7 separate regions of the Mus musculus genome follow, and regions 1, 2, 3, 4, 5 and 6 are each reported to be linked to region 7. Evidence: microRNA targets listed by miRTarBase, many of them from high-throughput screens and not tested one by one. Region 7 holds a microRNA gene; each other region holds the end of a gene's coding sequence.

What was found. The annotated mature microRNA mmu-miR-17-5p reads CAAAGUGCUUACAGUGCAGGUAG and lies in region 7 at 2,174-2,196, shown strand. An mRNA with a match to its seed (bases 2 to 7 or 8) in the 3' UTR can be bound and repressed. Matches are read on the target gene's strand: a 7mer-m8 pairs with bases 2 to 8, a 7mer-A1 pairs with bases 2 to 7 and ends in A, and an 8mer does both.
Region 1: miRTarBase lists 2510009E07Rik as a target of mmu-miR-17-5p. Seed matches in the 3' UTR shown: 7mer-A1 at 1,851-1,857 and 8mer at 3,339-3,346.
Region 2: miRTarBase lists Ccdc88a as a target of mmu-miR-17-5p. The part of its 3' UTR that is shown has no 7-base or 8-base seed match.
Region 3: the mRNA of Hdac8 is a reported target of mmu-miR-17-5p. The part of its 3' UTR that is shown has no 7-base or 8-base seed match.
Region 4: the mRNA of Neurod1 is a reported target of mmu-miR-17-5p. Seed matches in the 3' UTR shown: 7mer-A1 at 2,581-2,587.
Region 5: the mRNA of Adam19 is a reported target of mmu-miR-17-5p. Seed matches in the 3' UTR shown: 7mer-A1 at 2,958-2,964.
Region 6: the mRNA of Nrip1 is a reported target of mmu-miR-17-5p. The part of its 3' UTR that is shown has no 7-base or 8-base seed match.

The regions. Positions count from the first base shown.
Region 1 is chr16:21,649,880-21,653,947 of GRCm38, reverse strand. 2510009E07Rik (RIKEN cDNA 2510009E07 gene) reads left to right here. Exons shown (of 2, transcript NM_001001881.2): 2 at 190-4,068. The coding sequence ends at 746. Among named protein-coding and RNA genes, the nearest start is that of 2510009E07Rik, 43 kb to the left of the region's middle.
Region 2 is chr11:29,503,982-29,508,049 of GRCm38, reverse strand. It overlaps Ccdc88a (coiled coil domain containing 88A), which reads right to left. Exons shown (of 31, transcript NM_001363368.1): 31 at 1,916-4,068. The coding sequence ends at 3,245. Among named protein-coding and RNA genes, the nearest start is that of Prorsd1, 9.0 kb to the left of the region's middle.
Region 3 is chrX:102,281,339-102,285,406 of GRCm38, forward strand. Hdac8 (histone deacetylase 8) reads right to left here. Exons shown (of 11, transcript NM_027382.4): 11 at 3,300-3,830. The coding sequence ends at 3,808. Among named protein-coding and RNA genes, the nearest start is that of Gm32262, 13 kb to the right of the region's middle.
Region 4 is chr2:79,450,673-79,454,740 of GRCm38, forward strand. It overlaps Neurod1 (neurogenic differentiation 1), which reads right to left. Exons shown (of 2, transcript NM_010894.3): 2 at 1,965-4,068. The coding sequence ends at 3,292. Among named protein-coding and RNA genes, the nearest start is that of Neurod1, 3.9 kb to the right of the region's middle.
Region 5 is chr11:46,143,465-46,147,532 of GRCm38, forward strand. It overlaps Adam19 (a disintegrin and metallopeptidase domain 19 (meltrin beta)), which reads left to right. Exons shown (of 23, transcript NM_009616.4): 23 at 328-3,883. The coding sequence ends at 381. Among named protein-coding and RNA genes, the nearest start is that of Gm35624, 21 kb to the right of the region's middle.
Region 6 is chr16:76,287,400-76,291,467 of GRCm38, reverse strand. Nrip1 (nuclear receptor interacting protein 1) reads left to right here. Exons shown (of 4, transcript NM_173440.3): 4 at 1-4,065. The coding sequence ends at 286. Among named protein-coding and RNA genes, the nearest start is that of Gm30569, 11 kb to the left of the region's middle.
Region 7 is chr14:115,041,511-115,045,578 of GRCm38, forward strand. It overlaps Mir17 (microRNA 17), which reads left to right and starts at 2,161; the gene lies at 2,161-2,244. It overlaps Mir18 (microRNA 18), which reads left to right and starts at 2,341; the gene lies at 2,341-2,436. It overlaps Mir19a (microRNA 19a), which reads left to right and starts at 2,490; the gene lies at 2,490-2,571. Mir20a (microRNA 20a) reads left to right here and starts at 2,647; the gene lies at 2,647-2,753. It also overlaps Mir19b-1, Mir17hg and Mir92-1.

The sequences.
Region 1 (4,068 bases), not on the chromosome of region 7:
CATCAGCTTGGGAATCAGGAATTTAATACATGAATGTGAGGGCTGTCAAGTGACGGGGATGTTACTGGTTTGATCTGGATGTCACCAAAATAGTTAGAGAACATGCTCTGTAGAGCCAGACTGTCACAGCTACCTAATAGAGTTTGCATGGTGGGCCTATATTTCAGCTGTATCTTATGTGTCCCACAGGCAAATATGTGTATCAGCCTATGACCCCCGTGGAGCAGCTCCCAAGCACAGAGATCCCTGCAAAGCCCCGAGAGCCGACTAACACCATTCAAATCTCCGTCTCGCTCACTGAACACTTTTTGAAATTTGCGTCTGTCTTCCAGCCTCCGCTTCCCCCTGACTCGCCAAGGTACTGTATGATTTCCGATCTCTTCATCGACAACTATCAGGTTAAATGTATTAATGGGAAGATGTGCTATGTGCAGAAGCAGCAGGCGCCCCACTCCCAGAAGATGAGCCCTGAGGAGGTCTCTGCACACGATGCCTTAATTTCTAAAGAGAGTGACACTCCGAAACTGGGTCACTGCTCCTCCCCTTCCGGTTCCGAGGACTCGGGGATCAACGCCATTGGGGCTCACTATGTGGAATCCTGTGATGAGGACACAGAAGAAGGGGCGGAGCTGAGTTCCGAAGAAGATTACAGCCCTGAGAGCAGCTGGGAACCCGATGAGTGCACCCTGCTCTCCCCATCGCAGTCGGATCTGGAAGTGATTGAAACGATGGAGACCACTGTGTAGGCAGCTGGGAACTGCGGCCGGAGGTCCACCCTGAGCCTCTTCTGTTCTTTGATTGGACGAGTCCTTTTCCAATACTCTTGGCCTTTTCCAAGGCATATTACTAACAGTCGCAGTCCAGTGGTCTGCTTAGTGTCCCCTTATATTACCTTGTAACGACATTGTTTCCTTTTGTATCTTGCTTTCTATGTAGCATCTGGTGTCATGAGTTGTGACCCAGCCTTAATTTCACTGAGAACTTTGAGAGCAGTGGTGACCACAGCGTATCCAATGGAAGAGCTACCCAGAGTGGAAGTAACCATATTTTACCAGTAGCCTGTCCTACGTGATGAAGGCTCAGCTTCCCTTTGGCGTGTCATGTGACACCTCTGTCCTGTTGGTTTCCGGGTGGGGGAGCAGCTCACTTCTGGAAACAGTGTTGCAGCCACTGTTCCCTCCCTTGCTCTTCTGTTTGCCACCCACATTGGCTCAGGACAAGAGTGGCTTCGGCTACTTCTAGGAGGTCCTTGGAGGCCCTTTTGACTCCTGGTGATGGCCATGTCACAGCATCTGTGACTGAAAGGGTCTCTGGGGTTTGTGTCCAGTCCAGCTGGGATTCAGGAGGACTCAGTCCTGGTTCTCACCTCGAAGGGGCCACATTTTAGTACAGGACACAAGTCAAGCAGCTCGCTGAGCCAGGAGGATAATGGGATCAGGGGAAGGAGAGTGGAGTTGGCCTGGGCTGGCTGAGAATGTGGCTGCCGTGTCTGAGCTGACCCCAGGTGGATTCTACAGCGCCCACTGCCCTTGATTGTTTTGCAGTTCAGGGAGAAGCATTTAGGTTTCGTAGGTATTAGAGTTAGGAGGTAACACATCTGACATCTTAAGGAAAAAATACACACTAGTTTTAGTTAGCATGAAAATGCTAAGAGACAGAAGTCCTTTAGGGATTAGGAATGAATCTAATAGGTTTGATCAATCCTGCTTCGTTTGGTTGTATGAAGCATTAGAATGGCTTAGATGAGAAATGGACTAGAATTTTGTATGATGCATGGATTTTATGCAAATGCAAAAACAGTTGAAATAGCTCACTGCTGAGTCAGGAAGATGTTTTATGTAACACTTCTTCACTTTACTCCACTGGAATCCACACACATTGTGTGGATTCTCTCTCACACACAAAATAGTGAGTAATTCTTATGTAGCTTTCTTCAAAACTCTGTTCCTAATTTGCTATTAACTGTGTATTCTCATGTGATCTTATTATCTGCCATTTCCCCAAATATATCTGTGAGGCATAGTACAAATCTGGGACTTTTAAAAATATACTGTCATAAAACAAGAGTCCCAGGGCTGCAGGGAGACCTGCCTCAGATCCTGGCTGTCTGAGCAGGCACTGTGGCCTTGCTGTGTGATCAGCATCTCTCTACATCCCTCTGTCTCATTAGTGTGTACTGCAGGCAAGGAGAGCATGCTCCCTAGGCCTCCTCATTTGGGGGCTCTTCACTATGTACGCAAGGAAGAATCTGCTTCCCTAGTTGGATATGGAGTCCCAGTGCTTACTACTAGAACCTTCTTTAGGCTGCCTATCCCCAAACACCCAGTGTTCAGAAGGCAGAATATATGCCTTCCTCTGGAAAGCATTAGTTAAAACGCCCTGTGTGAGATGAGAATGTAGCAACTCCTCCCTCTCCCCACATACTTAAGGACTCACACCAAGGACCAGCAGACACAGGGAGTGAGGATTCACCAAAGACCAGCAGGTACAGGGAGGGCAGGTGGGAGCCACCATATCTTGGCTGTGGGGTCATTCTGCTGGCCTGGGATGGTCTGGTGACACCTGGTGGGCCCAACTGAAGGTCGTAGTGCCTCACTGTCATGGAAAGGAAACACATGAGCCACATATCCCTCATCCTGCACTCGTGGCTGTGATGGGCAGCAGCGGCACCATCCTCAGACCCTGAGGTGGAGAGGCAGACACACGGCAGGACTTACTCCTGCACCTTTCCTATCTACTTTTTTGCTACAGGGCCACTGCCACAAATACTAAACTAACTGGGATCTAGAACCCGGGCCCCAAAGCCATGAAAACACACGGTCATTGCCAAAGTTCTGAAGGCTAGCTGTGTGTTGGGCTTGGTCCCTTTATTAGTATAACATCTGTGACTTCTGTCCAGGGTCTTGTTTTCTAAACCCCTGAAACTGCCACTCAGACTTGCCACCATTGTGATGGGATTTTTGGATTTAATAACAATTGGTGATCACATTAAATATTTGCACCAACTTTATAACTACATTCACTAAGCTTCACTTGCCGTTTTATAAAATTGGACACGTTCCCTTGCATTCTTGGATCTCCAAACAGCCTTTTCTAAAGAAGCACAGCCGAGAGGTTTTTGGTTTTCTCCTCCTAACAGACTTCATACCAGTAACTGTCTGAAATATGACTAAGCCAGAATCATTTCTCTATGCTTGCAGTCTGAAATCAGCTCAAGAGACTATAAAAAAATTGTATAGCTTAACCACAATTCTAGGCCTATTCTGTTCTTTGTTCTATGAAAGAATTTCTCTATAATCCTGATATTATAGTGCTGATTTGTATATGCGTATTCATAGGCACTTTAGAAATACTTAGACACAACATGCACTGTAGGCGGTAAGCACAGTGGTGTTAAATAGGCTTTTGACTAACACTTGTACAGTGAGAGAGACAAAAGCTTGCAATCTGGACCTTATAGGATGCTTGCCTGGAGCTAGGCTTGGACCACGTGGATAGGTTTTTGTGGGATTCTGGCACTGTTACCACTTTTGAAAGGTTGTTGGGTACCAGGGTAATCCCACTAAATGTGGAGTATACTTTTCTTACCTAACCAAGATCTTAAGTTTCAAATGTGTCCATAGCTTTTGTTTTTTGTTTTTTGTTTTTCTGAGAAATGACAAAGCAATTAAAGTCCTTTTTGGGATAACTATTTGATATCTTTAAAAAAAATGAACTTTAAAACCTGGGGTTTTTTTTGCCTTTAACATTTAAGGAATAATATGAGAATCTGAGGACAACCCTGAAGACAAAGTTGTTTTCCTAGAAGAAAAGACTAATGCCTCAAGGTGAACAGACTAAAACCTGAGCCACAGAATCCAAACACAACACAGCACAACACAGTGTAATATGGAGCCACAATGTAACACAACACAACACAGTATAATAACAAATTAACAACACAACACAGTATAACAAAATAACAACACATCACAGTGTAATAACAAAATAACAACACAACACTGTATAATAACAAAATAACAACACAACACTGAGCCTCCGATCAGAAGCACATGGCTGTTTTCTGAC
Region 2 (4,068 bases), not on the chromosome of region 7:
TACTTAGAAGCAGTAAGCAAAAATGGATAAATTAATAAACAAATGTTGAAAGAAGTAGGCTGTTCCTTAGAATACTTGACCTTAAACACTCGGTCCTTAGTGAGAGAATGTCCTTTATTCAGTAGAGCTTAGTGCACTGTACAGTGTCCTAAAACCTTCTAAAACTTTTGGCAGCTGAATCCAGTAGTGCTCCTTGATTCAAGGAAGAATGAAGTTTATATCTCTTCCCTGCTCTAATCACGAAGGGATGTGTTAAAATCTCCTTACTGTTTTTAATAGTTCCTATAGTTGCTAGGTGTCTTGTTACTTCAGAAATAAAGTCTTCACACTGAGAAACTGAAGGACACTTTTCTCTCTGTATTTTGTTGAAAGACAGAAAAGAAGAAAGAAAATGTAAGAATAGCTTGAAGATAAGAGGAATATAAACTACAGGGAAGCTACGGCAAGAACAACATGCACAGGTGTTTATATGGAAATGAGAGTGACAGAAAGCCAGAGGGAACGTCTGAGCTGTTCTTTGTAAGACAGGTATTTAGTGCATTCTTACCAGTTACTTAGAGGTTGTAACCGCATGAAATATTTTAGATTACTCACTGCTAAAATTACATTTCAATTGAGAGAAAATACTTTTTAAAGGCTTGCTACCCAATTAGACAGGCAAAAACCTATGGTAGTCAACTACTCTTTACTAATTAAGCAGGAAGGAAAGTCAGTGAGTCCAGCAAGCGAAATGTAACTGTTAGTGCCATGTGCACTCGTTATACTTAATTCTGTTAGTCTGTACAGATGAGACTCGTCTCACTTAGGGTTCAAGCAGCAAACTCACCCCAGGCCCACATGTCATGCAGTGGGTCACTGAATTAGGAGCTTTGTTGCTCCCTAGACCTGCTTTTTGAATTTCTGCTCTCTTGTACTTTGTTCACATCTGTGGGAGAAAAGTAGTTCATGTTATTTACTCAAAAGTTTAGTAACAAAATTCATGAAGATAAACTAAAAAGCTCTTAAAGCTGAGTTGAACAAAGGAATTTGAAACGTGGAAAATTAATCTGACAGACGTTTTACATGGAACCTATTTTTTTATATTTTAAAGTCATAAGCAACATAGTATTAGTGGTGTTTGAGGAAACTTTGACTCCATAGTATGTGCTGTATTTGGAAGAATTCTACACTACAATCTTAGCCCACAGGAAATATGGACATAGTATTTACCTCTCTTACATGCAATGTATCCTTTAGACATTAGAGACAGAATACTTCTGTAAGTCTGTTTTCATAAAATAAGACAATATAGCTTTTATAAAACACATAATTTAAAATATACTTTAAATTAACAAAATTAGCAACATTTTTTAAGTGTAGAAAGTATAAGGTTTGTTTCATGATGTCCAAAGCTAAGTAAAGCATTTCTGTCTTTGTGCTGCATCAGTCTCAGCTTACCATTTATTAGTAGGCTATGAACAAAAGGGAAAACAGCACAAAAATGTCTGAAGTATTAAGACTGACTAGACAAAAAATTCATAGTATAAGGTAATGATATATTCATGCAGTAAGCCTATTAGGTGGTACTAAAATATGTAAAATACCGCTTGGGTTCATCTGATCACTTGTCTCAGAACTATTTTAAGAATAGCTGTAAGGAAAGAAACATATGGTCAGCAATATAAACAAAAGGGATCTATCTGTAAGGTGATCCTGGGAATGTACCAGGGGAGAGATTTTTAGTCAGGCAAAGACTGAAGATTTTCCCTTTTGTCTGGTATTAATGACAGCTCAGCGAGGTTAAGTACACAAGCACTAATCCCTTCACTCATAGAGCTTCTTATGGCACCTACCTAAGGCGGAGTTTTATCAGTAATATTTAGGCTGAATCAAAATTATTAAAACATTCCTGAAACAGCTAAATATCCTGCAGAAATAAGATTATAGATTTTTTTAATGCTGAGGAATTAAAGCTGATTTGGTGTAGATTGACATGAACACAGAAAGATAATTGAAAACTATATGACATTGGAGTCCATGTTTATGGATAGTATCTTTGTCGTGTGTGTGTGTGTGTGTGTGTGTGTGTGTGCGTTTGTGTGTGTGTACTGTTTGAGAGCGTGGGGAGCTAAAGACTATTTTTCTATTTTTGCTTGTTTTGTTTTCTTTTTGTTTGAACTTTTTGAGACGGGGTCCCAGTTCACAGCGCTGGCTGGCCTGGAACTCAGAGAACCACTCACCTCTGCCTCCCAAACTGCCAGGGTTAAAGGCATACACCAGGCAAGACTATGTTTTTAATACAACAGATTTTAGAATAAAGACTACATAGTGTATTTTTCATTTTTATGCTCACAAGTTCTAATTTTATACTCTAGCGCAATGTATTAATTTTTAAAAAGTTTGCATTAAGGATTTACATTTAGTAATAAATTAATGACAGAAGTTAATTTTTTTCATCATTTAAAAACCTTGCTATTCTTCTGAATTGAAGTAAAAATACAAATTCCCAAGGTAATAAGTAACTTGGTTTATTTCTCTTTGACTCATATGTTTAAAAAAAAAACTGGAAAAATTTGTGTTAAGGATACCAAAAAAATAAAGGGGAAGTAGTTAAGCTATTGCATTTATCGGGAAAGGAACAGCACCAAGAAGGGAACTGTAATACAAACATGCCTACTCACTGTGTAAGTTACATTTAAATTTGATAGAAAACTCCAGGAATAACACATTTATGAATAAACAGTATTTTAAATTTGAACAATGTTTTATAAGTGCAAGCATTAGTTCAAATAAAGATGAACTATTAACTATTTCTTTGAAAAGAGAACAGGAAAGATAACATGATTAAGTGACAAAAAAATACCATTTCAAAAACATTTTCTTATGAATGCTGTGCATGTGCAGCATGAAGTGCACATTCAGGAAGCAAAGGAGAGGGCTGGGGAGCAGGCAGCAGGAAGAGCGATGAACATGCTTTTTAGAAGCAGCCAAACAATGACTTGGATATGTTTTCTTGATAACAGAACATGCAGCTACTTGGACATGATCCATGACATGAAGTGTCTTTATCATCTTTATCAAGCATTAAAAAGATGTAAAAGAAATGTGGGTGGGGTTTAAAAGGCATGCAAAAATGCACAATGCAATTACTATTTCATGCAGACTTTGGTGTGGTGTTTATATACATGCCTTTTTATATAGCTGAACTCTGTAACAATCTTAATATAAGCCTAATGAGTAATATTAACATACTATGCAGTTTTGATCAAATACAACCATATTCATACCAAACAATTTGGCTGTCCTCTGAAACCGATAATGCAACGTCTGTGTCATCAGGGTAGAGGCATGCAGGAATGATAAGATCGCTATCTTCAGAGAACTGTGTCTTACTGTGACTGGGGTTCTGACTATCAGAAAAATGTTTGTTATCTTTCTGTGCAGTTTTATCCAAAGAGGCAAAGGTCTGGCCAGTTATTCTAGTGAGTGGTGACTTGGGAGGTAACCCACTTATGTTACTAACTAGTTCTGTGTTCAGGGATAGAAATGGCTGAGATGAATGAACAACACTAAATGTCTCATGGCTATCATTACCTGATATTCCAAATGTATCATTAGACATTTTAACAGTGGCAAAAGTTTGGTTTAGAAAACATGGCCTTCCTGAACTTGAATTTCTAGCCTGGGTATAAACGGACTCAGATGTGTCTTCAGAATGTGTTGGCATGTCAGAGGACCACTGCTGTAAATGGTACTCACTAGATGCTGTAGTGCTGCTGCTACCAGCAGTAGGTGGTGATGAATCGACTGACACGGGCAGTCTACTGTCTTTGCTCAAAAAATCATGGATGCTCGTCCTTCGAGTTGTTCCTTCAGCAGTAGAGATCACACTGCTTGCACGAGGTAAAGTGGCATAAGGATTGCTATCTTTTGATTGTCTTGACACAGAGGTTTCTTTTACTAGTTTTATCTTTCCTTGAGTGCTTGGTGTAGGTTTCCCTGCAGAGCTGATGGTGTAGGCATCTTCAGTCTTTTGAGGACCAGTTCTCAAAAATTCAGGCTTAGTTGTCCGTCTATCATAGAAGTCCC
Region 3 (4,068 bases), not on the chromosome of region 7:
CCTATAGTCTCTCTGGTCCTGGTGCATACTCTTATATGCACAATATTTAGGCTTTTTTCTTGGAGACAGGTTGTCATGTAGCCCAGGCTGGCCTTGAACCCCTGCTTCTACCTCTCGAGTGCTACGATTATAGGTATGCACCACCACACAGTTTTTAGGGCTCTTTTCAGATGCCCCCATTTTTGATAAGTCAGTAGCCCCTCGCAAGAGCCCATGAAGTATAGAAAGCATTTGCCTCACTTTCCATGGGAGGAAATGCACGCAGCAAGGCCAAGCATCTTGCTGAAAAAGCACATGGCTAATTTGTCTGTTTATTGTAGGGTGAGGGCCTAGGAGTAGTGTGTGGCTTGATTCAGCTTGGACTTTGTAAGGAAGAAGAAAATCTTTTACTCCAAAGTCACACAGTTTAAAGGACATTCTAACCTGGACCCGAGGATCTCTCAAACAATGAGCCACCAACCAGGCAGCATACACCAGCTGATATGAGGGCCCCAACACATGCAGTAGAGGACTGTCTGGTCTGGACTCATCAGAAATGATACACCTAACCCTGGAGATACTTGAGGCTCCCAGGAAGTGTGGAGGTCTGGTAGGGTGGGGGGTGGGGGTGGGATGGGGACATCCTCTTGGAGACCAGGACTGGGGGTGGGGAGGTGTGGGATGTGGAACAGTCAGAGGGTGGACCGGGAGGAGGATAAAGTCTGGACTGTAAAAAAAAAATTAATGAGTAAATTAAAAAGAAAGAATATTCTAGTGGCACTAGTGTGGGGCTATGGAAAAAGTAAGGGAGCTTGCAGTTCTAGCTAGGGTTGTTCTCTTCTACCCACTCCTGGGTGAGTTACTTCAGTTTGTAGACTCAGTTTACTCATCTCTAAAGTGGGTATAATAATACCTATCCAGCAGGAAAGATAATGGCACACTTTAAGTAGAAATGCCTTATAAAAAGGGGTGCATTCTGATTTTTGCCTCATGGTTGTCATCAGAGTCACTGGGCTTGAACTTAGTACGACAGTGGGTAGGTAGACAGTCGCCTTTGACTGAAGGGAAGGTAAGCTCACATCAGTATCCGCTTCCCTTGCCCTGGAGCCCATTTCTCCTGGGGCTCTTCTCAGAGCCTCCTGGGCAGTAAGAACAGCCCTGAGGCTGAGCACAGGCCTGCACAGTGGGAGGCTCCAACTGACTCAGATTCTTATCACAGAGGACAGATAAGAACCATTTCCAGTCTCCAGAATTTAATCTGACAATTTCACACACAGACACAATGCATTTTGGTCACAGTCACCCCATTATACATTTACTCCCCATCTCCTCCAGCTGAACCCCGTCTCCCAACCACGTCTTTCTTACTTTCTTTTTCTTTTTTTTTTTTTTTGTTTTTGGTGACTGAGTTTAATAAGTGTTCAACCAAGCAAACTCATTTTGAGCTTACTACTTTATTTGTGGGACTATGAGTAGAGCCTAGGGCCTCATGGATATAGGCAGGCAGGCAGGCAGGCAGGCAGGCAGGCAGGCAGGCAGGCATTGCACACTGAGCCATATACCCCAACCCCAGCCTATTTTTCCATTGTGAAAATAAAATTCGATTCACTGAGGAAATCTGGAGAAAAAAAAAAAAAGCTCCAAAAGCAAACCAAAGCATCTTATGATTTCCTGGTCCACTGAAGTCCATCTCACCATCTCAGTTTCTTTTTGGTGCATTTCCTTGTGGCTGTTACTGCCTTTATAACTCAGGACAGAGCTGTTCTTAACTTGCTGTGTTGGGCTTGTAGATGCTGGCTCTGGGTATTTCAATTTTGCTCGGTAAATTTTTAAGACGTTATCCTTGCCCTTTACCTGTTGCTTTTTTTTTTTTTTTTTTAGCCCACCGTTGCCTAGCTTTTCTTTCTCTTCTTCCCTCTCCCTTATCCTCTCTTGTCTCTCCTCCTCTATTTTTGAAGTGCTAAGGGACAGACTCCAGGGCTGTGTGTAGGCTGAGCACTAACTGCACTCCAGGCCAGCATAGCCTATAGGAATGCAATGAATGACAGTCTGGAGGCCCCTGCACTGGTACCCTCTGACGCTTGGCCCAAGGTCATCAACTCAGTAACTTTTATGGATCCTGTTGGGCTAGAACTAAGGCAGAGGTGGTTCTCAGGCAGTGCCTTCTTGACCAGGAGAATGGGTCCCATGGCAAAAGGCAACCTTTTGTGGGTATCCCCTGCACCTTATACTACTCTCTCCACATAGGGGGGATATCCTTGACCAGGGCAATTCCCACCTAAAAGGGCCACAGGGCACTAGCTAGCCATTGTTCCTACCAGGTGGCTGCCTCTCATGACTGAGGCCTTCATAGGGACCCTGGGGGTAGCTGGAAAGGACTGTATTGGGAAACTCAAGTGGGATAAGCAAACCTTTGAGAGGGCAAACCTTGGCACCTGCCCATTCAGCCAGCCATTCCCCACTTTCCAATTCTTTGAAATCCCCCTTCTTTTCAGCACAAGCCAAAGTGCCTTAAGCCTAGAGTGTATAATTAGAATAGTGGACATTTGAAGCGACTGGTACTTCTAGTCCACCAGACACTCTCACTGTTTAATAAAAGCATGGCTATTCCCAGCTCAGGACAGACTCAAGGCTTTCTCACTCCCTTCTGTGGAATGCTCTTGCTTGCCTGGGGGGAACTTCAGGTTAGCCATCCCTCCAGATGCTGCTGAGGGCCTGTTGGGCAAAGCTTGCAATTCAGAGATTCCCAGCTTTGTGCATATATTTGCTTTTCTTTTTCCCCTTGCCCCAGGCCAGGACTGGGCTGCGCTTGTGTCTCTTAGACTTGTCACAGTGGTTGAAAGAACTTAATAAACATTTGGTCAATCATGTTATAAAAATCCCACCAAATGGTCGTCTTCCCCCATAGTTTGCCATCTTTCCCCATCACACCAGCCAACTGTCATGTGAATCAACTGTCTACACTTGAGCTGCAAGTGTCCTGTTTACCCATGGAAATGCCCTTTGAGGGAAATGCCTTCCGACCCATGAGTCCTTGACAGAGCAAACGGCTCCTCAGAATGTAGCAGGCCCCTTTTCATGGATGCAGAGCCTATAACTCCGCACCTTCTTTTTCATGGTCAGACTCCAGCGCAGGACAGAGCTTGTCATCTGGTCTGGGGATACACTAGTTCCCCAGGAGGGTCCAAAATTTAAGGTGAGAGTCCCAGGCTGGCCAGGGCAGAGTATGGGAACAAGAGGGCCATTTTTGACCTTTGGTGGCAGGAAATGTTCAGAACTGTGTGTGCTGTCGGTAGCAGTAACAGAGCGGTGGGACGAGCTACATTTTCAAAACTTTTATTAAGAACAACTGGAGTGCATCATACTAAAACAAAAGTGGTAGACTCCTCCTTACCTCCCAGTCTGCTGATACCCCTCCCCCACAGGTCTCTATCTAAATGGCCCCGAGGGCCGAACCTGCCCATCTGCTGACCCCCCTACCCAACCCCACTCTTCTGCAGCTCCTGACTTGTCCCCTTTATGAAGATAAAATTCTTCCCCCCAACTTGCTTAAAAATAATTTTGAACCATTAAAAACTGCATTTGTGTTTTAAAATAAACACTTTAAACACTGGCTATCTTCTTCTTCCCCTTAGGCCTGGCTCCGGGGTGCCTGGCTCCTCACCCCAGGAGGCCAGCTGCCACTTGGTGCCCCTTGGAAATTTTCAGGAAGTAATTTCTTCCAAATTTCCCCTGCAGTCACAAATTCCACAAACCGCTTGCATCAACACACTGTCTTCATTATAGGCACTGCTGCCCAGCTCTGGGAACCTGATCTCTTTTTGTCAACTAGACCACATGCTTCAGATTCCCTGCAGACAGGAGAGAAAACACAATTCAGATTCAGGTAACATGTATGAATTACATATCTCAATAGGGCTGTGAAGAAGGAAATACGCATTTACATTTTGGAGCTGAAAATGAGACTGTGGTGGCCCTTTTTATGGGGATAAGCCCTAAATGATGAGGGAAAAAGGGCCTAGATATTCCTGTTATCCTAGAACGTATTATGCAAGTTAGTAAGTTTTTTCACCACCAGGGCAGTGGACT
Region 4 (4,068 bases), not on the chromosome of region 7:
TCTTATGGTTTGAAAATGCATTCCAAATATTCATTAAACATTTGAGTGAGTAAATGTGTAGAATATGTTTCTGACATTGGCGCTGGTTTGGTGGTATTTCTCTGATCAGATGGAAGTGCTATGCGTTATGCAGGGTGCATGCAGTTCATTCATGCATAAACAATATCATTTTCATAAATTAAAACCTTCCCTGCAGAAGGAACATCTGTGCCTGCCTTTGAATAAAAGATGGTGGCATGTGAGTTACTCCCTGACTGACTGAAAGAATCCCTACGCCTTTAGAGTGAAATTTTAAACACACACAAAATGAAAAAGAAAAAGAGTGAAGCAGAGCCTTCATCCTTCACGCCTACCTCTAATGAAACCCATAGTCTAGATTCTTTTGCTTCCCATTTTAAATGTTGTGATTCTAGAAACACCACCCTTGGTTCTTCTGTTGACTCTAGCAACAGTTTTTAGTTTGCATGGAGATGTCTAATTTTAATTACAGGTGAAACTGAGCTGCTTAATAGATCAGATCAGATCTGAATGTTCACTTTATGGTTTCCTGTGCTGGGAGGCTGAAGGATTCTGCTATCAGTATTGTGTCTCCTAAAGTCAATGGTGAGAAAAATCCAGGCTAGGAAGCAACAGCTTGATTCCAAAATAACTGCTCTGATTCACTTGGAAAGAGACAACTACATTTGGGGTAAAGTTGGGACCAGCTTTAATGTATTTCTGTGTGTGATAAAGGCTGGTAGAAAACATTATTTTAAATTACATTAATTTTTTTGAATGTTGAAATATCCCTTACTGCTACTGTCACAGCTTGATGGGGCCTCGTTGGCAACGTTATTACTATGGCTAATTGTTCCTGTCTATTAGATTACTCACGTTTTTCTGGAGCAGCTTACTAAATAAGGTCAGTTTTCTGGAACCCTTAAGCCACCAACGAGAAGGAGATTAAAGGAACATGCTTGCAAGGGAGGTAGGCATCCAATGTGGTATCCGAATCAGAGAAGGAACAATGACAGCAATCAGAATCACAGTAGAGACAATACAACTGCCAAAATGCTATTCCATAAAAATCAAGACTGTCAGTCATTTCTCATGGGAAGGGAAATGCCAAACTATTTATTAAGTAGACTTACCAGAAGTTAAGTTGGTGTGGTGTGGTGTGGTGTGGTGTGGTGTGGTGTGGTGTGGTGTGGTGTGGTGTGTGTGTGTGTGTGTGTGTGTGTGTGTGTGTTTATAAAATCAAAATATAAAATAGCAGGACTGTACAGAAAACTGTGGAGTAATATACACTCCTAAAATAGAACACAAATAGTATATACTTATGTACCAAAAGCTCACTAGCACTTTAGTGGAACAATTAGTGAAGACATCCCAAACACTTAATAGAACCATTATAAAATGCCTCATCTTTTGGGAGCCTTTCAATTAATTAAATAATTTTCCTACAATATCAGATATATAGTTTGGAGTGCAGGACTGTTTGAAAGAAAGCTATCTAGTTCAGGAAAGATACAGATAACAGAACAGTGAGAAAATATTCAATTTTGTTTATGCTTTAAATATGTATAAACAAATTAAACTAAGGTATTTGCTTATGTCTTGCTAGTTAATACTTAAGTAAATCCGCCTGAAAAATAAAAGAAACTTCTAACAATCATTTCAACAAACAGAGACAAACAAACAAACAAAGAGAGTAAAGGTGAAGACGTTTCACCTTTAGAAAACCAGAGTTTTTTGTCCAGCTTACTCTGTGCTCAATACTCCAAATAATAAAACAGAGGCGAGGTCTGTTTGTTATCTGAGAAGCCAGTGACCCTCTAAGCAAGATAACAGACTAAGCACAGGACAAGCTCAACTCTATATTTTATTCCTAATGTTTAACATTTAACTCAGCAAATACAGACGTTGATCCTCCTCGCTACAATTTTACTCTTTAAAATCCACTTTCGAAAGAAATGAAACAATTGTTTTGATTTTCCATACTATTTTTATTGCAACTGCATGGGAGTTTTCTAAATTGTGCATTACACCATAATACACAGGATTACAAACAAGATTACAGTACATGTCAATTCCAGTAGTACCAGCATCACATCTCAAACAGCACTTATTCTGGACTGCATTTTACATGCAACAGCTATTGTTCTAATTATGAATTCGATGGTTTGAATTTTATTTAAACTACTGTACTAACTGACTACACAGGTATAAAAACCCAACATTAACAACCTGAATAAATTTAGGCTCAGATTTATTACATGAATAGATGACAAACCACCATTTGTTTGACTATGTATAAAATCATGCATTTATATTTTCTGGAAACATCAATATCTTCAAACACTCCGTAAAATCATGGAATTCAAAGAAGTAAAAGACTAAAAAGAAAGAGTGCAAATTGTATGTGATAGTCAAGCAGCTTTTGATTTAAAGGAGTGTGTGTTGGCATTTATTTATAATATGTATTTACAAGCTTGTGCAAGTAATGAATTGATGTGTTTTGATAAGGAATGCATTTCGGTTTTCATCCTCTTGAGTGTTATGGGTCTGGTTTCTATTTTAGGGAGCGAGCAGGAAAAACTTTAAAGTGAGATGAATTGCTCAAATTGTGCAATTTGTTGGTTTTTTTTCTTTTCTTTTCTTTTTTACAATTAGAGAAGAAAGAAGTGCTAAGGCAACGCAATAACTTTCTAAGCACTTTTCTGCTGGTTTAAATTAGTTAAATTATTTTGTATAAATTAGATATAATTCTACTTTTCTGATATGTATAAAAATTGATGAAGCTGCATGGTTTTAAAATAGGAAATCCACGTTATAAAAAGTCATTAAAAATTCTGTACAAAATCACAACAAAATAATTCAGCATGGGAAAGGTCACAGGTAGTAAAATGCTGGTTGAAAAATATATATTTATATATATTTTAATTGGCCCATTACTAGTTTAAAAATTGCATAGATCCTAATTATTGCTTGTGATTTTTTTTATCCCGATCAGATAATTAATACGATCTGAATACAGCTACACGAAATTCGTGGTACACATTTTCTTTTTTACTTTACTGTATTATTATTTTTAAAATAGAAGAGCTATAGAAAACAATACATAAGGTGAACAGGAACTTTGATCCCCTGTTTCTTCCAAAGGCAGTAACGACAATAAATACATATATCACTTGAAGCTTTGAGTATTTGCACTTTGCAGCAATCTTAGCAAAAGGGCTGCCTTCTGTAAACAGGACAGTCACTGTACGCACAGTGGATTCGTTTCCCGGGAATAGTGAAACTGACGTGCCTCTAATCGTGAAAGATGGCATTAAGCTGGGCACTCATGACTCGCTCATGATGCGAATGGCTATCGAAAGACATAATGTTGTCTATGGGGATCTCGCAGCGAGGGGCAGCGGCACCGGAAGAGAAGATTGATCCGTGGCTTTGGGGCCCTGCCAGCGTCGCTGCAGGGTAGTGCATGGTAAAGGCATAATTTTTTTCAAACTCGGCGGATGGTTCGTGTTTGAAAGAGAAGTTGCCATTGATGCTGAGCGGCGGGCTGAGGGGTCCGTCAAAGGAAGGGCTGGTGCAGTCAGTTAGGGGGCTTTCAAAGAAGGGCTCCAGAGCTGCGCTGTAGGCGTGTGGCGGCGGCTTGACGTGGAAGACGTGGGAGCTGTCCATGGTGCCGTAGGGCGGGCTGGGCAGTCCAGGGGACTGGTAGGAGTAGGGATGCACCGGGAAGGAAGCGCTGGCGGTTGGCAGATGCGGGGGCATGTCCGGGTTCTGCTCAGGCAAGAAAGTCCGAGGGTTGAGCTGCAGGCAGCCGGCGACCAAATTGGTAGTGGGCTGGGACAAACCTTTGCAGAGCGTCTGTACGAAGGAGACCAGATCAGGGCTTTTGCCTGAGCGCAGGATCTCTGACAGAGCCCAGATGTAGTTCTTGGCCAAGCGCAGTGTCTCTATTTTAGACAGTTTCTGGGTCTTGGAGTAGCAAGGTACCACCTTGCGCAGGTTGTCCAGCGCCGCGTTCAGCCCGTGCATGCGGTTCCGCTCGCGGGCGTTGGCCTTCATGCGCCTTAATTT
Region 5 (4,068 bases), not on the chromosome of region 7:
TTTCCTTAACGCTTCTCTCTGCCTGCCATGTCCTCGGCTTAGTCTGGGGAGTTGGGTCAGAAGGGGTGAGGCAAGAAAGCTGGTTGCCAGCCCGTATCCCCTGAAGCACTAGGGAACTAGATGTACTGAAACTTGATGGAAGAGGGGAGGGGCTAAGTTTCCAGCTTTGGGGGTGGCCACACAATTGCTCTCACTACAAGGGCCAATGGCCCTGGAATGCAGCCGCGGGGACAGACTTCTGAGCAAGAGGACACTTGCCCACAGTCCCACTGACCAGCACTGAGGTCACATCGTTTTTTGTTTTTGTTTTTTTTTTTTCCTTTCCAGCTACCCGAGTACCGATCACAGAGGGTTGGAGCAATAATTAGCTCCAAGATCTAGAAGTGTCGAGAAGTTTCTTGTTCCGATGGAAGACTCCGGATGCCATGGAAGGTCCAGAAGAAAGACGCCTTCTCACCCATCCTGAAGCTTTGGCAGCCTTCTGGAACGTCCCTCATCCCCAGAATCTCCCTTCTTACCCGAGTGCCTCCTGCTTCCTCCGAGGCCCAGGGGGACTCATATCCAATGGCTCCTAAGTGTTTGTCCTGTGCAATATACAGCCCAGGGAGGGAAGGGAAGCACGGCGAGGAGGGTGGGAAAGGTTCTCCCTCAGCCCACTAGCCAAGAGCTACCAGCGATGCTCAGGGAAGGCTTGAGCTGGGGTCCTCCTCTGCGGAGCTTGGAGAAGGTACCCATCCTGGTCCTATGCTGGCAGGAACACACGCGAGTGTCACTGATTGGCCTCCTTCTGGGATCCCAGGCTGCTGAGGAAGCTACTGCTACATCCCTACCCCAAGGGGCTTGGTCAAGGTGCCTGTTCCTGGCTCTCTGGCTGCATGTGATAAGCCATGCTCCCCTCCCCTGCCTTTCTTCACATTCCCACTCCCATATTTACACGGGTCACTCTGACTCAGACAGGTACTATTTGTAAGTAGCATAGACAGCAGGGGGGTGGGGTGGTCAACCTGTGTCCCCTCTGAGCCGTTATGCCAAAGGTCACTAAGGACATTTAGAATCCCCATCCATCCATCCATCCATCCATCCATCCATCCATTCATCCATCCCCAGTGTTCCATGTGTCACCTTCTCCTTTTCCAGCATCCCTATCCTATGGTGCTTTGGTGGTGAACTATGGCAGTCCTGACTTGCTGATGACCATATGCTGGTGACCTACAAATCGGGATCCTGCCATATGGGGTCGCCACTGGACTTTCTGCACTGGATCTCAAGAGCGTTGAGCCGAGTGGGCGTGTATGTGTGTGTGTGTGTGTGTGTGTGTGTGTGTGTGTGTGTGTGTGTGTGTGTGAAAGAGACAGAGGCAATGAGAGAGACAGACATGCAGGCAGGCCGACAGCTCTGCATGTACTTGTGTTTTACGGCCTCAAGCAGAATAAGGGACCTCCTCCTTATTTCTGACTCATATCTAAGTAAGGTTCCCCAGGACAGCCACAGTTGTACTGAGGGGGGCTGACATGTTTGGCATCCTGGCTATAGTATTGTATACACAGGGCCACCAGCCCCGCCCTAGTGGTCAGCTCTGAGGGGGGACTGGTGACTCTGAACAGATCGATGTCAACAGCCATGGTGAACCAGATCTGGGCAGGGTTCCCCAAACTCTATTCAACCAGAGTTTTATCACGCACCTCATCGGGTCTCTCCTGGTTGCTGCCCCGAGGTGATCGTCATGGAAAATGCTGAGAAGGTGGGAATGGGATGGGGTGGACCTTCTCTTGCTTGGTGCTCCGCTATTTGGAACAGTTCTTACACATTTGCTGGGCCTGGCCTCTGAGAGGCCATCTTCCACCCCCAGAAAGGTGCTAATGGCACTGCAGAGGGCTCTCTAGGGGCCTCCCCGCCCCAACAGCAAGCAGTTGTTAGCTCTTGGAACCCTCCAGAGGAAGAGGCAAGCGTTTGACTTCCCCTTTACCACCTGAGGCCTCCTTATATCTCTTCCCAGAGTAAGCTTTGGGATTGTAGACATGTGGGAGCTATGACAGACGTGGCCTGGGGTAGAAAGATCTCAGGAAAGCACCTTTCTCCTTTTCAGGGTGACCGTGCTCTTCACACTCTCTGAGGCCTCAGTCCATGTCCTATATCAGTTTCTCTTTTGTGTGCTTTACCAAGTGGCCGGTGACTACAGGCCACCCCGATTCTCACCACAAAGTTAGAAACCCTCCACTTTCTGTCCCTTGAACCATATCAGAAAAAGACCCATTTCCTTGCTCTTTGGTAATCACTTCTGTTTTTTTCTTTTTCATTACTTTGCTACCACCTCCATCCCATGACATTATACTGTGAAGTGTAAGAGGACGGGGTTTTTTTAAACTTGGTAGAAATGTCGGCAGCTGCTCTACACACAACTTCACTCAAGGCTTTGTTTCCAGAGGCCAGCTAGGCTGTCACAGGCAGGAATCCCTTCCCATCTGCTTTGTGAAGGGTCCCATACAGGTGTATCTAGACTTCAAGGACAGGGTTTGTCTCACAGGATTGTCACTTAGGAGATGAAAGAATATTACCACATGAGGAGGAGGGGCAGTTGCAACAGAACACTTTGGTCTTCCTACACCAAGTCTGTGAGGGCATCCAAGACTGAATGAAAGCGCTTTTCTTATGCATACAATGTGAGCAAGAACAAGAACTGTTTAAGGCACCTCTGTTCCCAGCCACTGAAGAGAGACGTCAGAAGATGTTAGAATAGGTCAAAGCCAAGGCTCTGGTGGGCTGAGGGAAGGTTTGTAGCTGCGTTTAGTGGTATACATCTTTAGTCCCAGCATAGGCAGGTGAATCTCGAGTTTGAAGCTAGCCTGGTCTAAAAAGGAAGTTCCAAGACTGCCAGGGCCACACAGAGGAAAAAAAAAACCCTCTAGAAAAACAAAAATGAAGACAGGATCTCATGTATCGTAGATTGGCCTTTAAGTCACTTTACCAAGGATGATCTTTGAACTCCTGAGTACAGACTGCGGGTGTGTGCTACCATGCTTTATGTGGCCCTGGGTTCAAACACAGCCCTTCATATGTATATAGCCAAACACTCTACAACTGAGCTACATCCTCCAGCCTAGGCTGTAAATGTTTTTTGGAGCTAGATTAGCTGCCTGCCAACCTTAGAACTGCAAAGCCATTCCTGACCTGTAAACCTCAGCTCTCCATCTCTATAAGAGGTATAGCCTGGGCTAATACCGTCCAAGTTACAACTCCTTGCTTGCTTTCTGTTCCTTCTAGCCTTGGTGACTTCCACCAGGAAGAGAATACCCCCTCTCTACCCCTGCTCCAAGACACTGTAGATGCTAGTGTCGGAGTGTTCTCTGTAACGCGACAGTTCCTTCTGTTGCAATAGCCCCCCTGCAACACTGCAATAATCCTTCAGTGTCTCCCCTGGGCTCAATTCACTTCCTTATTTGACAAAGTGGAGGTGAGACTTGTATTCTTAAAATTGGAGGCTAGTTATTTTGTCAAATGCATGTAATGAACAGACCCGAAGGAATCCTCCACACACAAGCCAGGGAACACCAACTGGAAAGGTACCCCGTCCCAGGGAAGCCTGCTAGGGAGAGGTTCTGTAGAATCCGAGCCTAGCACCCCAAAGTCATGCACCCAGTATCCTCTTGTATGACTGTATATGTCTATGTCTGGGATCCAGGGCAAATGTGAATTTTCTTTTGATTTGGGAGATTGTTCACAGGAAGTAGTCCTCCCCTCTCATGTCCTCCTATTGATTGTTTACAATATTTGTACATCTATGCAAAATACTTGAATGGGCCATGGTGCCTTGTTTTTTGTTGTTGTTGTTATTTTTTTCTCCTTGTTTGTATTTAATTAAAACAAATTGTCATGAGGAAATGTTCTCTGTTTGGATGGCTCTTTTGTGTGTGAACTGTTTCGGTAATCCCACTGCCAGGACCACTTAAGACATGTGATGTGAACGTCTCAGAGGACTCATACAGACCAACAGCCTTCCAGTCGGCCATGACCTGTGCCACAGTGATGCCCCGGGGTTTCCCATGGCCAGTAGTCAGGGCTGCCTGCTTT
Region 6 (4,068 bases), not on the chromosome of region 7:
TCCGATCCTCTATTACATGCTCCAGAAGGGAGGGGGCAATTCTGTTACCACACAAGAAACCCAGGACAAAGACATCTGGAGGGAGCCTGCGTCAGCCGAGAGTCTCTCACAGGTTACAGTCAAAGAAGAGCTACTTCCCGCTGCAGAAACTAAAGCTTCTTTCTTTAATCTAAGAAGCCCGTACAATAGCCATATGGGAAATAATGCTTCTCGCCCACACAGTACAAATGGAGAAGTGTATGGACTTCTGGGAAACGCGCTCACCATAAAAAAAGAGTCAGAATAAATGTGTACCTGCCATACCACTTTGGGTCTTTTTAAAATTTAGTCAGTATGAACTTGAGATCTGTATAAATAAGAGCATGATTTGAGAAAAGCATGGTATAACTGAAACTCCTTCCTTTTGAAAGTATTGGTCACTGGTGATGTTTAAATATGCATACTAATTTTTGCTTAACATTAGATGTCATGAGGAAACAATTGAACTCGAGGTTGGTTGTTTACTATTTCTGTATGCATCAGATAACAACTGTGACTAGCCTACGAATGAACCTGTTTTTATAATCGTAAATAAGAGGCATACATTAAAATGCACAACTTCACCAGTAGTGGATTGATGCAACTTGCTGTCTTTATTAGGGTTGTTCATTTCCCATCTCAGAAGCCAGCCTACATAACGTGTTTGTAACATCCAAACTGTTAGCTATTTGGAAGATAACCAAATTAGGAAAAAAAAAAAAACCCAGAAGCCTTGTGCTGATTCACACCTCATCAGTCTAAAAGTAAGAAAAAGCAATGCTTACATTTTTTCACTTTTGCTAAACAAAATTCTTTTTAACTCTTGGAAGGGGTTTTGCGGTTCCCAATGAGTCTGCCCCACCCCAGACCTTTTCAATATATATATTTCTTTAAACCTTTTACTATTTAGTAACAATTGATTACAATAGAGGGGAGTTTAATAGATCCTTAAAAATAAAAGGCAGATTTCCATTTTTTTATATTTTGACTACTTTACTAAATTAATACTCCTCCTTTTTCAAAATTAGAGAAGGAAATCTTCACTCACCTTCAGGCTGTTTCCTGGACAATTGACTACTTAGAAATCGTTTTTAACAAAAGCAGAAATGGGTTTTCTTTGGATGGTTTTTACCGTCTCTTTTGAAAGTTGATCCTCACCACTCCTGTGGGACCCGTGACTTTACAACCAGGATTTCTTAATTCTGGACAGAGACACTGCATTCATCTGACTATCACATGAGTCTCTGGAACAGTTATTTAAATGCAGACTCCTAGGCAGCATCTCAGGTCTACAGAACACCGTCTCCAAGTGGACCCGGGCGTCCTCCTTCCGCCTGTATCCTGACATGTTCTGTATGTGCTTCTTCCGCACACTGATGTTTGAAAACTGTGGCTTAGGACTTTTCCAGAACATGAGACTTTAAAGTAACTATCTGATGCCTATACTTTTCCCCCAATACAGTCACATATCCACTCAAAATTTGCAATATCATAGTTCCAATCTTACTATTATATCTTTGGAAATCGGGTTCGGAATACTTTTTATGACAAAAAAAAAAAATTGGGTAGAGGGGACAACTTTCCTATCTGGGTCAACATCTCAGGAAAATCTGTGATTATTTATTTGCTCTAATTAGTAAGATTAACTTAATTAGCCTTAGGGGTGGAATAACAGGGCCACTTAGCAAACTCAGGTGATCCCAGGACGGTTGGGAAACTTCTTGAATACATCCTTACCTGCTAGTCAAACTGTCCTCTGCACAGCAGTGTTTATGGAGTTAACAGATTCAACCCAAGAAAGACATCAAACTCAGATTACCTGAAACCAAATCAAAGGGCACTTATCAATCCATGACAGGACCTGCACAGTCACTTCACGGATCAATTCATTTTAAACAGGCATTAAAAGTAAATACTGACATTGTCTTGAAAGAACTTAATATATAATTGAGCCACGTGGAATTTCAGTCTTGAAACAGGTTGGTTTTTAAGTTCATTTGTTTATAGCCCACAGTTCCTCCTCCAGGCAATATTTTTTGTTTTTCAGTTTTGAGCCAGGTTAACAACTGACTTATCAAAAACTTACTGTGTACTCAGCAGTTAAGTAGGAAGAAGTTTATTTGGAATTGTTATACATACTTGAAGTTGTTTCTAAGATTTTTTTTATATATATTACAAATGGACATTATTTCTTAATTACCTAAAATTCTAAATGGTTATTTTTTCTCAAGATGATTTGTAAATAGTTAATGGGTATGTTATATGGTAACCAGAGTGTATGTTATGCAACATCAGAGAAAGGAGAACGTGTATGCTTATTCTGCTATGAAAAATTCCACTGGCCAGTGAGGTACTTTACTCCATGTTTATACTGTGACAATCTCATTGTCTACACTATATAAATAAGCTTTACACTTAGTCATTTTTCTTGGTCATGGTGAAAGGGCTGGAGCCTTAGAAATATATTGTAGGATGCTGGAGTTCGTCCTCTGTTCACGGCGCAGTAGTCTTCTTACAATGGAACAGCACTTAGGTCAGGGAAACGTCCAGAGCCAGCATCGCTTCGCTTTGTTTTGTTTTGTTTTTGTTGGAATGAGAATATGTAAGACAAAAATAAACATGCCTATGAAGGATGCTGTTCTGACTTTCTAGAGAATAACCCCCCCCCCATGTTTTGTTTAGAGAAATCTTAAAGAAGAGAAAGGGCATAATACATCCACAAATTCACTTTGCATATGTAGATTCAAATATGCACATACACATTTTCGAGGACTATTTTCGATATCTGGGCAGTTTCTTCCTAATAAAGTCATTTGTGAATGGGTACTACAGCTCTCATTGACATCAGTAAGGTAGCATTACCTGTTTATTCTCTGCTACATCTTACAGAAGAATAAACTGGTGAGAGTATATATTTTCTATATATATACATATATATATATATAAATGTGTATATATATATATTGACTTGTTACATGAAGATGTTAAAATTGGTTTTTAAAGGTAATGTAAATAATGATTTCCTTAATGAAAAAATACATATTTTGTATTGTTCTAATGCAACAGAAAAACCTTTTAATTTCTTTGGTTCCTGTATATTCCATGTATTAAGTGTAAATATAATCAGACAGGTTTAAAAAAATGTGCATGTATGTATACAGTTGCAAGTCTGGACAAATGTATAAAATAAACCTTTTATTTAAGTCTGCGTACCTGCTGCATGACGACAAGTGCATGGGGGACCCTGTGCATCTGTGCATTCGACAGAAACCGTCTTAAGTCAGGGCAGATGGTCATCCAACACGACAGTATTCCATTTCCGGACATGACCTCTGTGGCTTATGCTTTGTGAGAAAATGTGCTTCGAATTCAAGGGTCTTAATTTTTTTTTCTTTTTAATCAACCACTTTCAACATTAAAGAACTCACAGAGCAACTTCACAACTCTTCAAATCCCATTGGAAACATAACCAGGAATAGTCCAGTGTTCCTAAATGCTGGAATATAGGCACATTACCGTTCATGGTAAGAATCTTGGGTTTACAGCCAGTTTTGATGCAGCCTGCTTAGTGATATTAATTTGCCATTTTTATTATTAAATTTGATTTCTTTATGTGATGTAATGAATTGTACATACCGCAGTGTGAATTTTTTTTTAAATCTTTTAGTGTTTACTTCCTGCAGTGAATTTGAATAAATGAGAAATGCATTGTCTCTAACTTGAAATGGCTTCTTTTTTGTGGGCTTTCTCTGGTTTTTAGGTTTTCCATTAATGTTAAAGTCCAAGGTCATAGAGAGAAAAAGGAAAAAAGCAATAGACATGTATTTTGTCTGTCTCAGAAAAATGAAGGGGGAAAAAAATAAGCAACTGATTAGCAAGTTAGTATATTTAGAAACCTGTAATTAAAGTATAGCTCAAAATGACAGCTGGCCTGTGGTCTGTCTTCCATTTCTCAGTATGTAACTGAATGACCACTACATGGTTTTGTTTTTTTTTTTTAAACTGAAGTTTGTACAGTGTTCCAAAATAAAGTTAATTAGATACATATAC
Region 7 (4,068 bases):
CTCCCGGGGGCGAGAGTTAAAGCGCCTCCAGAACAAAGCGGCGGCGGCACATGGGGCAGGCCGCGGGCCGGGAGGGGGCGCGCCCACGAGGAACCTGCGCGCGGGCGGCGTGGGCGGGCGGCACTCGGCGTCCCCGAAACTTTGTGCGCGCCGGGCCGGGCTCCGGGACGCGGGAGCTGCGGGGCGACGGGGCCGGGGCGCCACCCCGCGCTCCGCGTGGGCTTTGTGTGCGGCCGCGTGGGCAGCTCCCCTCGCGGGCGAGGCGACCCCTGCGGTCCGCCCGGGCGGCCCGGGACGCCCCGGCCCGCCCTCGGGGCGGCGCGGAGCCCCGGACGGGCGCTGGCTGCGAGCGCGGCGCGGGAGGGCCGGGCGGGTTCGGCAGGAGCGGCGGCCCCGCCGCCATGTTCCTGCGGGGCGGGCTGCGCGCGCCGAGGGCGGGGGGGGGGGGGACATGGCGGCGACTGCGCGCCGCCGCCGATTGTTCCCGGCTTAGGCCTCGGGCCGCGTGCGGCGAGCGCCCTGTCCGCCCCCCTCCCTCCCCCGGAGCCTGGCCGGGGGGCGCGCGGGACACAAAGGACGGCCGGCGTGTCCGGAGCCTCGCCACGCTCGGGCCTCCGCGCCGCCGCTCGCCGCGCAGCCGCCCAGAAACGGGCGGGGGTTGGGGGGGGGGGGGAGTCTCCGCGTCCGGCGCAGCGCGGCCCGGCTCTGACCTGCCGCCCCCTGGCGGCCGCGCGGGGAACCCACAAGGGCCGCCTGCCCCCTTGTGCGACATGTGCTGCCGGCCCGGGCTCCATGAGCGTGGCGGGTACTTGGCAGGATCCCGTGTTCCCGTCCGGTTTTCTCTTGATAAGCTGGCGCGGAGGGGAGAAAACTGGAGAGCGCAGCAGGGCTCGTGGTTCTTAGGTGACCAGAGGGAAGAAAATGAGCAACGTGCCACGAGGATCACAGCAGTTGGGGAAACAACTCTTTATCCCGGCGTGCAGCCACGAGGTCCTGATTGGGGGAGGGGTGGTGAAGACTAGTCCTGGTTGCCCTTTTTCTCTAGCTTGAGCTGGACAGTAGAGTTCAGGCTTGCTGCTACTCATCTTGCAGTATTTCAGGGGCACATTAATTCGTGCACGGATGTGAATCTTGGTGGGTTTTCAACTTTATTTTGTTACAGCGTTTTCCACCCAATACATTGTTGCCCTCAGGACCTTGTGGTCCTGGCTCTCTCTTTTTTTTTTTTTTTTTTTTTTTTTTTGGCAAATGGATAGAATTGCCCCTTAGGAAGATTAAGAGAAGAGCAACTTGGAATGGGGCTCGGAAAGTGGTAGTAATTTTGAGCAAATGTGCTTACCCTTTCTCTGTCTTCACCCCACCCCCAACCCTAGTCATACACGTGGACCTAGCAGCACCCGAAGCATTGCCCAAGGATACTTGCTGAGAAGGAAGTTTGCCTGAGTGGGTGAGTATATTCTAGTTTTGTAGCTAAAACTTCTTTTGAGACCTTTGGTTTTCACTTTTGTCTTTGAGCTTGTACAACATTCTTGGTCTTTTAAGGTATGAAATAAATACAGTTTGAACTCTTGTCATAAATGAGTGAGCCACATTTTAACGTAGTAAATCTACAGTGGCTTTTGGACACTAACCAAATAGTTGTAGACCCTTCAAGTTGGAGTCATAGAGTATTTCTAATTTGGGGTGATACTAAGACTTTTTTATGTTTTATGACTAATAAACTTGAAAATGACTAAACAATAATCATTAATCTTGTCGAGTATCTGACAATGTGGAGGACAGAAGAAAGGGATTGCTGCCTGGTCAATGTGAGGCTTTCCTCTAAAGGTAGTACCAAGTCAGACTGCCTTCCTGATAACAGGTCTCATTTTGTAGGACCCTTATTGTGTGTTTTTTGGGGAAGCCTACTGTAAAAGCCAACATTTTAATGGGATTGTATCTTATATTTCTTTAAGGAGTTTTTTTTTTTTTTTTAAGGCTTACATGTGTCCAATTTGGAACTTCTGGCTATTGGCTCCTCCCCTCCCCCCCTTGGGTATAAGCTGTAATTGATGTTTGTGACAGAATTTAGAGCTTTGGCTTTTTCCTTTTTGTCTAATTATTTATTTCAAATTTAGCAGGAATAAAGTGAACCTCACCTTGGGACTGAAGCTGTGACCAGTCAGAATAATGTCAAAGTGCTTACAGTGCAGGTAGTGATGTGTGCATCTACTGCAGTGAGGGCACTTGTAGCATTATGCTGACAGCTGCCTCGGTGGGAGCCACAGTGGGCGCTGCCTCGGGCGGCACTGGCTGCGTCCAGTCGTCGGTCAGTCGGTCGCGGGGAGGGCCTGCTGGTGCTGCGTGCTTTTTGTTCTAAGGTGCATCTAGTGCAGATAGTGAAGTAGACTAGCATCTACTGCCCTAAGTGCTCCTTCTGGCATAAGAAGTTATGTCCTCATCCAATCCAAGTCAAGCAAGCATGTAGGGGTCTCTCCATAGTTGTGTTTGCAGCCCTCTGTTAGTTTTGCATAGTTGCACTACAAGAAGAATGTAGTTGTGCAAATCTATGCAAAACTGATGGTGGCCTGCTATTTACTTCAAGTGTTGTTTTTTTTTAAACTAATTTTGTATTTTTATTGTGTCGATGTAGAGCCTGCGTGGTGTGTGTGATGTGACAGCTTCTGTAGCACTAAAGTGCTTATAGTGCAGGTAGTGTGTAGCCATCTACTGCATTACGAGCACTTAAAGTACTGCCAGCTGTAGAACTCCAGCCTCGCCTGGCCATCGCCCAGCCAACTGTCCTGTTATTGAGCACTGGTCTATGGTTAGTTTTGCAGGTTTGCATCCAGCTGTATAATATTCTGCTGTGCAAATCCATGCAAAACTGACTGTGGTGGTGAAAAGTCTGTAGAGAAGTAAGGGAAAATCAAACCCCTTTCTACACAGGTTGGGATTTGTCGCAATGCTGTGTTTCTCTGTATGGTATTGCACTTGTCCCGGCCTGTTGAGTTTGGTGGGGATTGTGACCAGAAGATGTGAAAATGACAATATTGCTGAAGATGCCGATTTCCACTGTAAAAATGTTCACGAGCTGATGGAGTGTATGAACACATTCTGTAAACTGTGATTTCTATTGCTTTCGTTGGTGTGTAAAACGGGATTTTTTTAATTGAAATTTGTGTTTTTAAATTGTGGTTTGTTTTTACTGAATCATTTCATTTTCGTGTTTGCTCGCTGGATTTAGTAAGAAGTTGTGTGTGGGGGCTTAGGTGAAGTTAAACTGCCTTTTGAACCTGGTATGACTTCAGGTTTATTTTACTCTAAAACCCATTAACATGAGTTAAGAAAAATGTTACTTTCTTTGGATCTCTGTTTATTAAAGTGTGACAATTCAGATGGAGTGTTTTCTGATAAGATTATTCCTAATCCGTGAGTTCTTAACAGTTAACAGGTGGTGGCCACTCTGTTAATGTGCACACCCTGTAAGAAAGAACTATCCTTGGACTGTTCTTACCATGTGACCCCCTCAAGGGAAAGATGGCAAACTGATGGTCAGTAGAGTGACAGGTACACATGACACTCGAGTGCTGGGTCTGGAGAAGCTGCAGTTAGTATTTAGGATAACAGTATATATAATATATAGTTCTACATTTGGGCAGCACAGTTGGTTTCAGGCTATGAATAAAAATCATTGGAGTGAAACCTAAAGAAAAGTAAAATTAATAAGGAAGAGCTGCTAAAATCAGGTTTAAGCTGACACTATCTACAGAGCTAAAGTTTTCCATAATATGTTGCTTTTTTTAAAAGAAATGCAAGAAGCTGACTGATGGATCCCTGAGCTGCCAGGTAAGGATTCCACAGGCCTGGGTTTGATTGTGAGTGACCAGAATTGTACAATTATTACTAAAACAGAAACATAGTCACTTCTGACTCCATTCTTAACATTTTTGGATTAAAACTTGTTTCAGATGACTAATGAAAACTTCCTTTAAAACGTGATAAAGCTCTAATGTCAGCACGATCCACATGATCCATGTGCCTCCTATAAAGGGAGGGGTCTGTCACCAGTGTTACGGATTGAATGCT